Linked DNA regions of Xenopus tropicalis. The main gene of each other region encodes a partner of the protein of the gene in region 2 in a complex. Links are inferred from orthologs where the notes say so. Each region holds a gene or a part of one and is shown on either strand. Other genes may lie near its edges.

Region 1 (4,105 bases), about 42 Mb from region 2:
GTCATGCGTTGCTGTAAGGTAGCAACCTTTTCACATGAACAGGTATAGGATCCCTTATCTGGAAATCTGTTCTCTGAATTACATTAAGCCTGTCCCCCATAGATTCCATTTTAATCAAATAATTCAGAATTGTGAAACTCATTTCCTTTTTCTCTGTAGTAATAAAACAGTATCTTGTGCTTGATCCCTACTAAGATATAAATAATCCTTACTGGATGCAAAACAACCCTATTGGGTTTAATTAATATTTTATTGATTTTTTAGACTTAAGGTATGGAGATCCAAGTTAAGGAAAGACCCCTTATCCGGAATACCCTGGGCCCTGAGCATTCTGGATAAGGGTTCCTATACCATTACTTGCTTGCTTTTATGTTTCTTGGCTATTAATAACATCAGCAAATATAAAAAATGCAACCCTATAACCTTTTATCTGCTCCTTTTAAACAGGGACAGTTATAAAAAGAAAGTGTATAGATACCCCCTATAAATATAGATACAGCTAATTTCTATTTAGGTTCCCAAGAAAATAAAAATATATGTACCCAAAAATTAGCCACTGGCAACAACATTTATACTACCGACATGAATGGACCCACACTGAACTCTGACTCTCCACATGACATTTTCTAGGAATAAATAACTCCTGTATTTCATTTTAACTCACGTTGCTATTACTTTTGACCTCAGTTAGTTAACTTCATACCATAGCTAAACCCGAATAATCTTATAGTACCAATTCATTTATTGCTTATAAAACACCGAGGCGAGCAGCAGCAGCCACGTTCTAAATCCGCCAACAAAAGCGGGCACTAAGCTACACAAGGCGCCTTGGGAACCAAGTCACGAGTAATTTTCTGCTATTAACCTCGCCCCTTCGCTAGGAACCGTTATACGCGCCTCCTCCCACTTGTCCCAGTTCACACGAGGCTGTTCTAGCCTTACTGAACTTGGCGCATTTCCTACAGTCCACTCCCTCTTCTCGGAATATCCTACCGCCATCTTCCCCTGACGCCATAATGCGGCCAGTGGTCCCTAGCCGCACCCATTGCCCAGACTCCCTTGTTGTGCGTAGTCCTCACGTGAAGGCGCTGATTTTGACCACGCCTTTACAACGCTGGCCTCTCTTTATTGGCTCGGATAGCTTAGTGACCCGCCCATTGCGCTCTAGACCGCGCCTTTTTTTACTTTGCTAGAATAGAAAGATATTGTTGTATACGCTATACACTAGCCCCGCCCATTCGCGGGCCCCTCCCCTCCCGGTAATTGCTAGACTTATCTCCTGAGGTTAGTGCTTTGCTGTGTCACGCTGAGTTTGAAGAAGTCGGCCGTCGCCACTGTCCAAAATGGTTCGACACGTTGAAAGTTTGGTAAGCAATTAATTGTATCATGAACGTTGTAAGTTGCTTGACTGAGAAAGATGCTTGGAAAGTACAGGCTTCTTATTTTCCTTTAGCATGAGGGGAAACGGGGACAGAGGAGCTAGTGCATCCTTATTCAGCATGGCTGGCAAATGCAAACAGCATGAGCAACACATTCCGTTTGAATTCTACTAACCCAAAAATAACATTCATTCAGATGTTCCTATTCGTTTATATTCGGATTATTAAAGTTGTGGTAGGTAGGGGAAGAGTGGCTGCTACAGCACTTAAAGGAACCCTCATCCTAAATTAATTACTGACCCAATGTAAAATAGCTAGGTAACTAGTAGTCTACGTATATTACCCATTTCAAAATGGTTTTTTTTGCACTTTGGGTGGCTAAATACAAAGAACATACTAACCAAAGCAAAAGTAGGTTCAAAGTTTGCTTTAGGGCTTCTGACCCTCCCCAAGCTATTAAATGTTTCCTTTCATTATTCAAACTGCAGTAGACCTATGCATGCTATCTGCTGACTGGTTGCTATGGGTATTCTACCTGGGGCAAACTTTGCACTATTGCAGCATTTTCTGTTAACTAGTTAAGGCTTTCCGACACACATTAATTTGACTTCTTTCTAAAAGACTAATATTAACACTGCTCCAGATCAGGGTCCTCAGAACAAGTGTTTTGAATGAGTACACCAGCGCTGACCTTCCTAACAAGAAATACAGCTTGGGTGATAATGCCAGTCAGTATGTAAGAGGTTAATCAGCTGACCCAGGACAGGATGAGATTGCATTTTGATGTTGATTCAAGCAGAATCAACATCAACACTGTTAGGCCAGTTTGTAATCCAATATCTAAATCTTCAAGGGTTCACTTTTAACCTGCATTTGGTTTAATTGCTACCGAGTAGCACACTATCTAGAAGAAGACTTAAAAATTGCATACTCCCATGCATTCTCAACATACCCTACTAAAAGAAATAAAAGAAAATGTTGTATAATTGAAACTGAGTAGGTTATGTTGCTCAAAATTCATCCTGTTTAATATTTTCTGGTTTAGGCCTCATGGAGATAAAAAGGGTACTTTCAGATGTGACTGGCTCAGGTTGGGTGAACTAGTTGGATTAGAATTTCACCTCTATTAAGATAAGAATGGATGCAAGAAAGAATGATTTTAAGAACACACTTCAGTTTTTCCATAGAATTTTCATAGATGTTAATTTGTTGGGATCATTTTCCACAGTTAAGTTGAACTGCTTGACAGATTTGCTTCTCAAATAATGCTAACATTCCTGAGCCTCATTCATGGTTATTGGAAACCAGAAGACTCGCTTAAAGCGCTTGTTCACCTTTGGGTTAACTTTTAGTATGATATAGAGAGTAATATTCTGAAACAATTTACGATTGGTCTTCTTCTATTTTTTTTTTGTAGTTTTTTTTAGATATTTCAGTTCAGGAGCTTTCCAGTTTGAATTTTCAGCAGTTATTTGGTTGCTAGGGTCCAAGTTACCTTAGCAACCAGGGAGTGGTGTGGATAAGTGACTGAAGTATGAATAGGAGAGGGCCTGAATAGAAAAGAAAGTTACAAAGAGTAACGATAAAACTGTCACCTCACAGAGCAATCGGGGTTTTTTTGGCTGCTGGGGTCAGTGACCCCCATTTGAAAACTGCAAAGAGCTGGAAGAAGGTTGCAAATAATAATAATAAAAAAAAAAAAAACTATAACAAATAAATAATGAAGACGATTGAAAATTTGCTTAGAATAGGTAATTCTATAACATACTAAAATTTAGCTTTAATGGGCAACTGTCTATTAAAGATGACATATAGTGAAAAAGTAATAAGTATTTGCCGTGGTATTATACACCAAAAATAGAAGAAAAACTCATTTAAAACTTTTGTGCACTGTTTTAATAAAAACTGATTTAAGAATTGTTTATGCTGCCAAGCCTTTCAGCATCTCTTGGGCACTTTCCCAGGCTGTTGAGCAATGGCAGCCCTTTGCCTTAAAGGATGCCAGCCAGCCTTTATCTTGCGCACCGCCACTGCAGTTTGATGTAGTTGTCAGAGAGCTGCCATGAAAGGGTGTGGTTTGCTAATAAATGGGAGGGGATTGGGTATCTAGTGGATATATTGGCATGGGCAGTTTTGACTTACTGGGCAGCTGTACAGTCATCGCTGATTTGTAACTGGGGAAGATTTATGGGAAGCTCCAGTAAAGGTACAAGTTTGATTGTAATTATTACACTACATAGGCTTCATATATTTATCATGGGTTTTGTGATGAGGGTGCTTTTGCCAGATGAGATAGCTATATATATATATATATATATATATATATAGCTATTTATTTTAAATAAATATTTGTGTAATTGTTTATTTCTCCCTAGCTTTCTCTTTGGGTACTGAGTGCTTTTGTACTTTTAGGGCACTCGTACAGGGTGATTCTCCATTAGAGAAACACTCCAAATTGGCATTTAAGCAAATCCATTTAAGTGAATTGCACTCTGTTCTTTTAAATGGATAATCACTCAGAAATACAGCAGTGAATATTTCTGAATGATCATCATCTGGTCCATGAGAGCACTGTGCAGAACCAGATGATTTCCATTCGGGTTACCAGAGGGGCAATTGGTAGCCCCTGCTTTGTGTCGGGTTTCCTGGACACATCCATTCATAAATTTACTAACATTGTTTGCATGTTTATTAAACAGTCAAAGTAATAATCACTTTCATTTATT
Region 2 (2,761 bases):
ATTTCTAGCCATATTCATTTTTAGGGTTTAGTTCTCCTTTAAGTATCTAATATTCAAGTTTTTGAATCAGAATTCAAATATTTGGAGTTTTAGCACAAAAAATAGTGGAAAAAATTTGTTGTTAACCCCACCCCCCCAATATCCAGTCATTTTTATATTTTTAAATTGTGCCATGTTATATCAGTTATAATTATTGCTTAGTGATGTAATTTCTGTCACTTGACTTGATTATATTGTACTTCCTGTTTTAAAATATGAGGATATTAGAAGTCACCTTAAAATTCCATGACCTGTATTAAAGCATTTGGCTTCACCCTTGTGTTTTTTTTTATATGGTCATGGTAATTACACATAGAACCAATTTACAAACATAAAAACAAAATTGCCCTATTGCATTAACAGCCAGCATCCAATCAGAACACTTTCATTTTCTTACTGTGTTCACATAATTAACAGGCTAACAAAGACTGGACAAATACAAAACAGTTTTCTCCTTTTTTTGATAAACATCTTTCCTTTATCATTTTATTATAAAACACACAATAAAAATTAAATTTCAGAAAAATATATAATATTTACTGTAGTAAACCAAGGCATAAAACATTATTAAATGATTGCTAGCCATTCTTAATATATTGCCAACATTTGCAAATGACAGTAACTTAACTGGGAAGTTTAATTTCTGAATTGTTTTTTGAATCGTGTAGTTTTCTGATGGTGTATAATAGGAACTCATGCAGAATCCATAGAGACTTTAAACCAACATGATTCAATAAGTAAATATGCAACATCCTAATTCAATTAGGGATAAGCAATACACAGAGTGTGATGCCCAGAACCCAGAAGCTTAGGTCCTTAAAAGTTGCATATATATAATTATATATATTCTTTTCGCTAGCTTACTATATGCATGAGCAAAGAAGTGTTTTAAATTGTACCAGGCCCAGGCTTTCTTGAATATCCAGTGTATTTGTTCAAGCTGCTGAGCCTCGCTGTGCATGTAAGACAGAGTCCAACACTTGCCTATCACTTGTTGCAGATGAGAGTACAGTCTGGTTCCTGGGAAAACTTTGGGCAAACTGTCTCTGTCTCCTTCAGAGATTCCGAATATGAAAGGCTCAGTTTCTGAAAGGATGTCTCTACGCCACTGTCGCACGTACTATCAGTGTCCTGCAGCTTAAGGTAACCAACATCGAACATGGGGGAATCTGCACAAAGTGTCATTTCAAAGGAAGAAATCAGTTATAATGAATTAGCTGCATAAAAATTATATGCGCATATTTATAAAATATTAAGTTGATGCAACTCTCTTTAAAAGAGATCAGTACTCCTTTTTACCACTTCAGTTCCCTGCAGGGGTCTCCCTCCCAAACCGCCATTATTTATTTCTTTTTATCACACACCTACTAATCAGCTCTTCTCATTATGCTATGGCAGTAACTATATTCTATTACCATTACTAGGAGTCAGTTTGGTCTTTTTCTCTCATTTCTATTCTATGTGATCGCTTGATACTGACTAAATATTTGATAAACACAGTACAGAATGCTCAGGACCTGGGGTTTTCCGGATAAGGGATCTTTTACTTAAGTCTGCTAAAAATAATTTATATATTGAATAAACCCAATAGGCTTTTTTGCCCCCAATAAGGATTAATTATAGCTTAGTTGGGATCAAGTACAAGGTACTGTTTTATTATTACAGAGAAAAAGAAAATCATTTTTAAAAATTATAATTATTTGCTTATAATGGAGGTGACCTTTCCCTAATTCGGAACATTCTGGATAATGGGTTTCCGGATAAGGGGTCCCATACCTGTACTGCTTCTCTTAGAAATGCAACTTGTTTATAGTTTGTGCTACTCTTTTAGTAAGACTTTCCGTCAGATTATGGACATCATTTGGGTGATTTGTTCCCATTCAGTCTTTTCACGAGTGTTGATTTGGTTTGAGATCAGACAAGTTCTTTAACTCCCATCTTTGCAAACCTAAAACCTCTTCTGCGTGACCCTTATTTTGTGCGTGGGGACATTATTGGTCTAAAACACTTACAACTTGCTTTCAGTGGGAACTAGGGACCCTAACCATTATTCCTCTCTATCGTTGCCATTTTGCATGCAGGCAGGAACTGTTCTCCTGACTTTTCCATGACACTGCTAGATAATAAAATTTAATTTATTAATCCAGAGTCCAATTGCGGTGGCCTTTATACCATCCCTGCTGACATTTGGCATTGCACAAGGTGTTGTAAGGTTTATTTTCCTCTAATCACCCATAAAAATCCCTAAACTCCCTGTAAATAGCTCTTGTGCAAAGACTGACTCCAGAGACAGTTTAGAACTCTCCAGCGAGTGTTCCAACTGAGAAAAACATTCTAGATGGAACATTGTGATAGGAAACTGGAGTACCTAGAGGAAACCCACATAGATGCAGAGGGACCATACAAATTCCTTGCAGATAGTGCCGAGGCCAGATTGAACTGAAGCCCCAATGGCTACAAAGCAGATGTGCTACCAACTGAATGACCTTGCTCAGTGTGTAACACAAACTGTGGTAAGTGAGAATGTTATACACACAATGGAACATCACATATATTCACCTCTTCTCTGTGCAGGAAGCAGTGCCTCTGAAGATGGCGTAGAAGTCCCAGACAGCTTAAGGATAGCTTGTGACTGCTCAATGGCCTCAACAGCTTCAGTGTAATGCATCAGTTTTAAGGCATCCAGGAGTTCTGTCATGGTTCCACCAGAAACCTTCAACAA
Region 3 (3,959 bases), on a different chromosome or scaffold from region 2:
CCCATTGCTCCGTATGGGAGCAAAATTTTGAAATTTGCGTGCGGCGGGGCAGCATGCCGCCCCTATGTTTATGCCGCCCTAGGCCCGGGCCTGGGCACATCACTAGTGCAGAGCGCACAATAGTATAGTCAAAGTATTCCATGATGTTTTTGGTTTACTACTTTTATTCCCACACAAGAATTACGGACAGATAACCTTCGGCAAATGGCAATTAAGTTATTTCACCTAAGCAAGGTACCTGAAACTATTATCGTTATAAAAATAATAACTATTAAATTCATACAATCTCATTTCATCCCAACAATAATGCACAAAGGGGCTTATGTTTTTTTTAAAGCAAATGCAAACTGCAATTAGGATTGCCACCTGGAGGTTATTATACTGGCCTGACCAGTTAAAATACTGCAATATCCCAATGTTAACTGGGTAGAGAGATGAAAATTTAGGAAGACCTGTATTTCTTTCCAGTGGGAAAGCCTTACTACAATGCACAAAAGAGTGCAAAATTCCATGTTTCACCCACAATGCAACGTTATTCCCCAGAATCCCAGTGTAATCTTGCTGCTTATGACGCAATTTTTGCAGCCTTTTGGGGAACATTGCGCGAAAGTTGCATTGTTTGTAAACCCCTCGTTTCTGGAAGTTGCTGAAATAAAACAAAATGGCATTAGCATCAATCATTAGGTGCAAGTCGGTTGTGTGTGTGGGTTAAGGTGCAAAATGCAAATGGCTCCCCGGACGTTGAGCTCTTATGTATTTAGCATAATATCAATAGTCTGTCAGACGAAGGTATATTTAACGCATATAAATGCCGAGTATGATGTGGGGAACTAATGTGTATTTTTGCCCGAATCCCCCCAGTGTGTCCCAGGAATGGTGAGTGTGCTGAGAGGAATGTACATGGAGTAGCTGCGCACGTCTGAAAAAAGGGAATTTCTGAGCCTTGTACATATTTCTGCGCTCTTCCTTTTATTGTACCACAGAACTGGCTCCGTCAGGTTCATTGTGTTCCTATACTGACTTATTCTTGGAATTTCCCAGAGTACATAATAGTTCACAAGTAGGAAACTGAGCTCGGCTCCACCCAGAAAAAACCCCGGCTGTATATGTAAAAGTAGCCTGCTGGGGGAGGGAGCTGCCAGATCGCTACCAGAAGTCGCTCTGATCGGATGGGATTAGTATAGAGGAGGCTACAGCTACAGAACTTCACTATCGCAACTGGGATTCTACAGTGTCTTCTAAGCTATTTTGCGGGGAAGCTCAACAACCGGCCGCCGCCATGTCTGTGCCTTTTCACGATTACCAAGGGAATATGATGGAGGGAGAAGCTAGGGATCTCCGGAAGGACAAACTGCTGCAGGACGATCGCATTGATAGCGGCCTGGACTCCCTGAAGGAGGAGGAATACACGGCTATCATTACTGACCTCAGCAACATGAGAATGGAGGGCCCGCCGGACACATCGAACTATGAGCCGGAGCCATGGAAGAAAGAGGTCAACGAAGATGGAGACACGTAAGTGATAGAGAATGGGTTCGTTATATGGCTGGGGATTGTGCTCAGTATCTACTGATATTGTATAGGGGCGATGAACCTTAGTATTAGTACATCTAAAACCATTACATCTGCCTTGCACAGTGTATATACTGATAAAGGGATAGTACTCTATAGTGCTGCACTAATATATATATATATATAACAGGGACACCTAGGTTTGGGGCAGTGTTTAGTGTAGGATATGTAGATATTTACTAATGCATGACTTCTTTATGGTGAATGCACAGTTAGGTGCATGGGGCAGGCTACACTGCATAACACTGCAATTTATTGTGCAGCTTTTTCATGCAACCATAAACATGCAGTATTAGTAAGTTGTGCAAATAGTTAAAAACCCTTGTGCTTTTAATGCTTTTTTTATATCATGCATTGGTATTTGCAAGCATGCAGCAACGCCGGGCAGCTGTTAGATGGCTTGGTGCATGTTTGTTCTTGGTAGGGGAATTTTTTTGTTGGTGCAGAAGAGACGCCATATCTGTCTGGGTTTTCCCTTCTTCGTGTGAGCTGGAGGGAGGGGGGGTGGGAGGACACCTTGTTCTCTGACTTGCTGCCTCAGAGGGGTGGGGGCTGGCAGGCACCCAGGGGCAGGACTCTGGCTTTGGAAAGTCCCTGGCCAGTAGCCAGGAACACAACTGCACACACACACACTCTCACACTCACAGCAGAAAGCGGAAAACAACAGACAGATCTAGAGAAGAAAAAATCCCCAGACTTACACAATTGCATAGTTGGCTGGGGGAGGGGGAAGTACACACTTGTGTCACCACTGACTAGTATTGCAGCTCACCGACATGCCGCTATGATGAAATAGGTTCATTATGAATTATTATTTCCTATTGCTTGGCAGTTTCTAAATTTATGAAGTTTTATTCACCTCGATCTTTCCCACACACTGAACCTTAACACCACTTCACTTACTGGTTCCCAAAGGGGAGGGGGGGGTACATTTTCTACTTCTGAATGATGAAATAGTAAATACAGAAATGACATTTTGTAATAAGATGCTAAGATTGGAAAGCTAGTTTGTCATTTCCCATAAACCTGCTAGTTCATCTTTTCTTTTTTTATGGTTAAATGACACAAATTTGCTTCTCTATTTTAACATGTCCTTTTTATGTTCCCTTCTAGGTTTCTCCATTTGGCAATTATCCATGAAGAGAAAACCCTGGTGAAGGAGGCAATCCAACGTTCATACAGGGACCATTTTTACCTGAACAAGCAGAATAATCTGCACCAGGTAATTTACTTTTTATTTTTTTTCTAAACCTTGTAAAAACTTTATTTCTAGATTAGCTTGTCATGTGCCACCATTGTCGGTTAGGGCAGGGCTGTCCAACTGGAGGCCCGTGGGCCGGATGTGGCCCTCCAAAGGAATTTTAACATATAAAGTATAATAGAGGGCCAGTTTGTGGAATAATTGACCTATGACATGTAAGTTGGCCAGCACTTAAAATATTAATAGTCAGTGCACTCATAGCATGTTCATGAGGGATAGAATATAGTACAAGCTTATTCTGCAAGTTCAATTTTGTGTTTAATGAGAATGAATTTACTGATTTTTCTTTTTTTTTTTAATGTCTTTTCTGCAGACAGCACTACATCTGGCAGTAATCACCGAACAACAAGACATCAGCCAGTCACTTCTCCAGGCTGGTTGTGATCCAGAAATCCAAGACTTCTGTGGCAACACCGCCTTGCACATTGCCTGCAAGCAGGGCTCGCTTCGGGGAGTTGGGGTCATTTTCCAGTATTGTGAGAAACAACTGCCAGCACTTCTGCAATCTGTGAACTATGATGGTATGTATCAAACTTAATCTATAAACCTTTAGACGTGTGTTGTTGTGCTACTTGGCAAATTAGAATTAGAACTGCCTTGCTAATATCTTTCTTTCCGATGCAGGTCACACGTGCCTCCACCTGGCATCGATCCATGGCTATCTTGCAATTGTGGAAAATCTCATTAATAAGGGGGCTGATATAAATGCCCAGGTCAGTATTCCCCCTACTTCACTTGGCTACATACTGATGTTTCTTCCTGCCATGTCTATTGGATTCAATTTTGCCTCTAGATCTAAGAGAAATTTCTGTTTCCCTCACCACAGGAGCCTTGCAATGGTCGCACTGTGCTGCATATGGCCGTGGACCTGCAGAACTACGACCTGATGAAACTGCTGCTTAAGCACGGAGCAGATGTAAACAGAGTCACGTACCAAGGCTACTCTCCGTGCCAGCTCACATGGGGCAGAAATAACATGCTGATTCAACAACAGCTGGTTGAAGTGACACACAAGAATTTGCAGTACCTTCCAGAGAGTGAAGAGGAAGACAGTTCTGACTCCGAATATGAATATAATGATGATGAGGTGAGACCTAGAGACGAGTTCATCATAGTAATGGCATGG

The links.
Region 1: the proteins of nfkb1 (region 2) and uncharacterized protein LOC100170420 are in contact, whole or in part, in an NMR structure (PDB 1MDI), measured with the Homo sapiens proteins. The link is inferred for Xenopus tropicalis from reciprocal best matches to the Homo sapiens genes NFKB1 and TXN. Residues at the interface, in NP_001158884.1 of Homo sapiens: Arg56, Phe57, Arg58, Tyr59, Val60, Cys61, Glu62, Gly63, Pro64; in NP_003320.2 of Homo sapiens: Thr30, Trp31, Cys32, Pro34, Met37, Ile38, Asp58, Val59, Asp60, Asp61, Gln63, Ala66, Ser67, Val71, Lys72, Pro75, Ser90, Gly91, Ala92.
Region 3: the proteins of nfkb1 (region 2) and nfkbia are in contact, whole or in part, in a crystal structure (PDB 1NFI), measured with the Homo sapiens proteins. The link is inferred for Xenopus tropicalis from reciprocal best matches to the Homo sapiens genes NFKB1 and NFKBIA. Residues at the interface, in NP_001158884.1 of Homo sapiens: Lys251, Ile252, Val253, Arg254, Met255, Asp256, Arg257, Thr258, Ala259, Pro326, Lys345, Leu348, Tyr350, Ile353; in NP_065390.1 of Homo sapiens: Asn108, Asn109, Leu110, Gln111, Arg140, Tyr181, Pro214, Cys215, Asn216, Arg218, Tyr248, Gln249.

Annotation. Positions count from the first base shown.
Region 1 is NC_030677.2:116,011,451-116,015,555, forward strand, and holds the start of uncharacterized protein LOC100170420, read left to right. Parts: upstream 1-1,305; 5' UTR 1,306-1,343; coding exon 1,344-1,367; intron 1,368-4,105. UniProt on the Homo sapiens protein: Participates in various redox reactions through the reversible oxidation of its active center dithiol to a disulfide and catalyzes dithiol-disulfide exchange reactions.
Region 2 is NC_030677.2:73,607,267-73,610,027, forward strand, and holds the end of nfkb1 (nuclear factor NF-kappa-B p105 subunit), read right to left. Parts: intron 2,753-2,761; coding exon 2,599-2,752; intron 1,209-2,598; coding exon 1,027-1,208; 3' UTR 501-1,026; downstream 1-500.
Region 3 is NC_030684.2:109,511,895-109,515,853, reverse strand, and holds the start of nfkbia (NF-kappa-B inhibitor alpha), read left to right. Parts: upstream 1-1,159; 5' UTR 1,160-1,279; coding exon 1,280-1,515; intron 1,516-2,685; coding exon 2,686-2,794; intron 2,795-3,146; coding exon 3,147-3,354; intron 3,355-3,457; coding exon 3,458-3,546; intron 3,547-3,659; coding exon 3,660-3,920; intron 3,921-3,959. UniProt on the Homo sapiens protein: Inhibits the activity of dimeric NF-kappa-B/REL complexes by trapping REL (RELA/p65 and NFKB1/p50) dimers in the cytoplasm by masking their nuclear localization signals.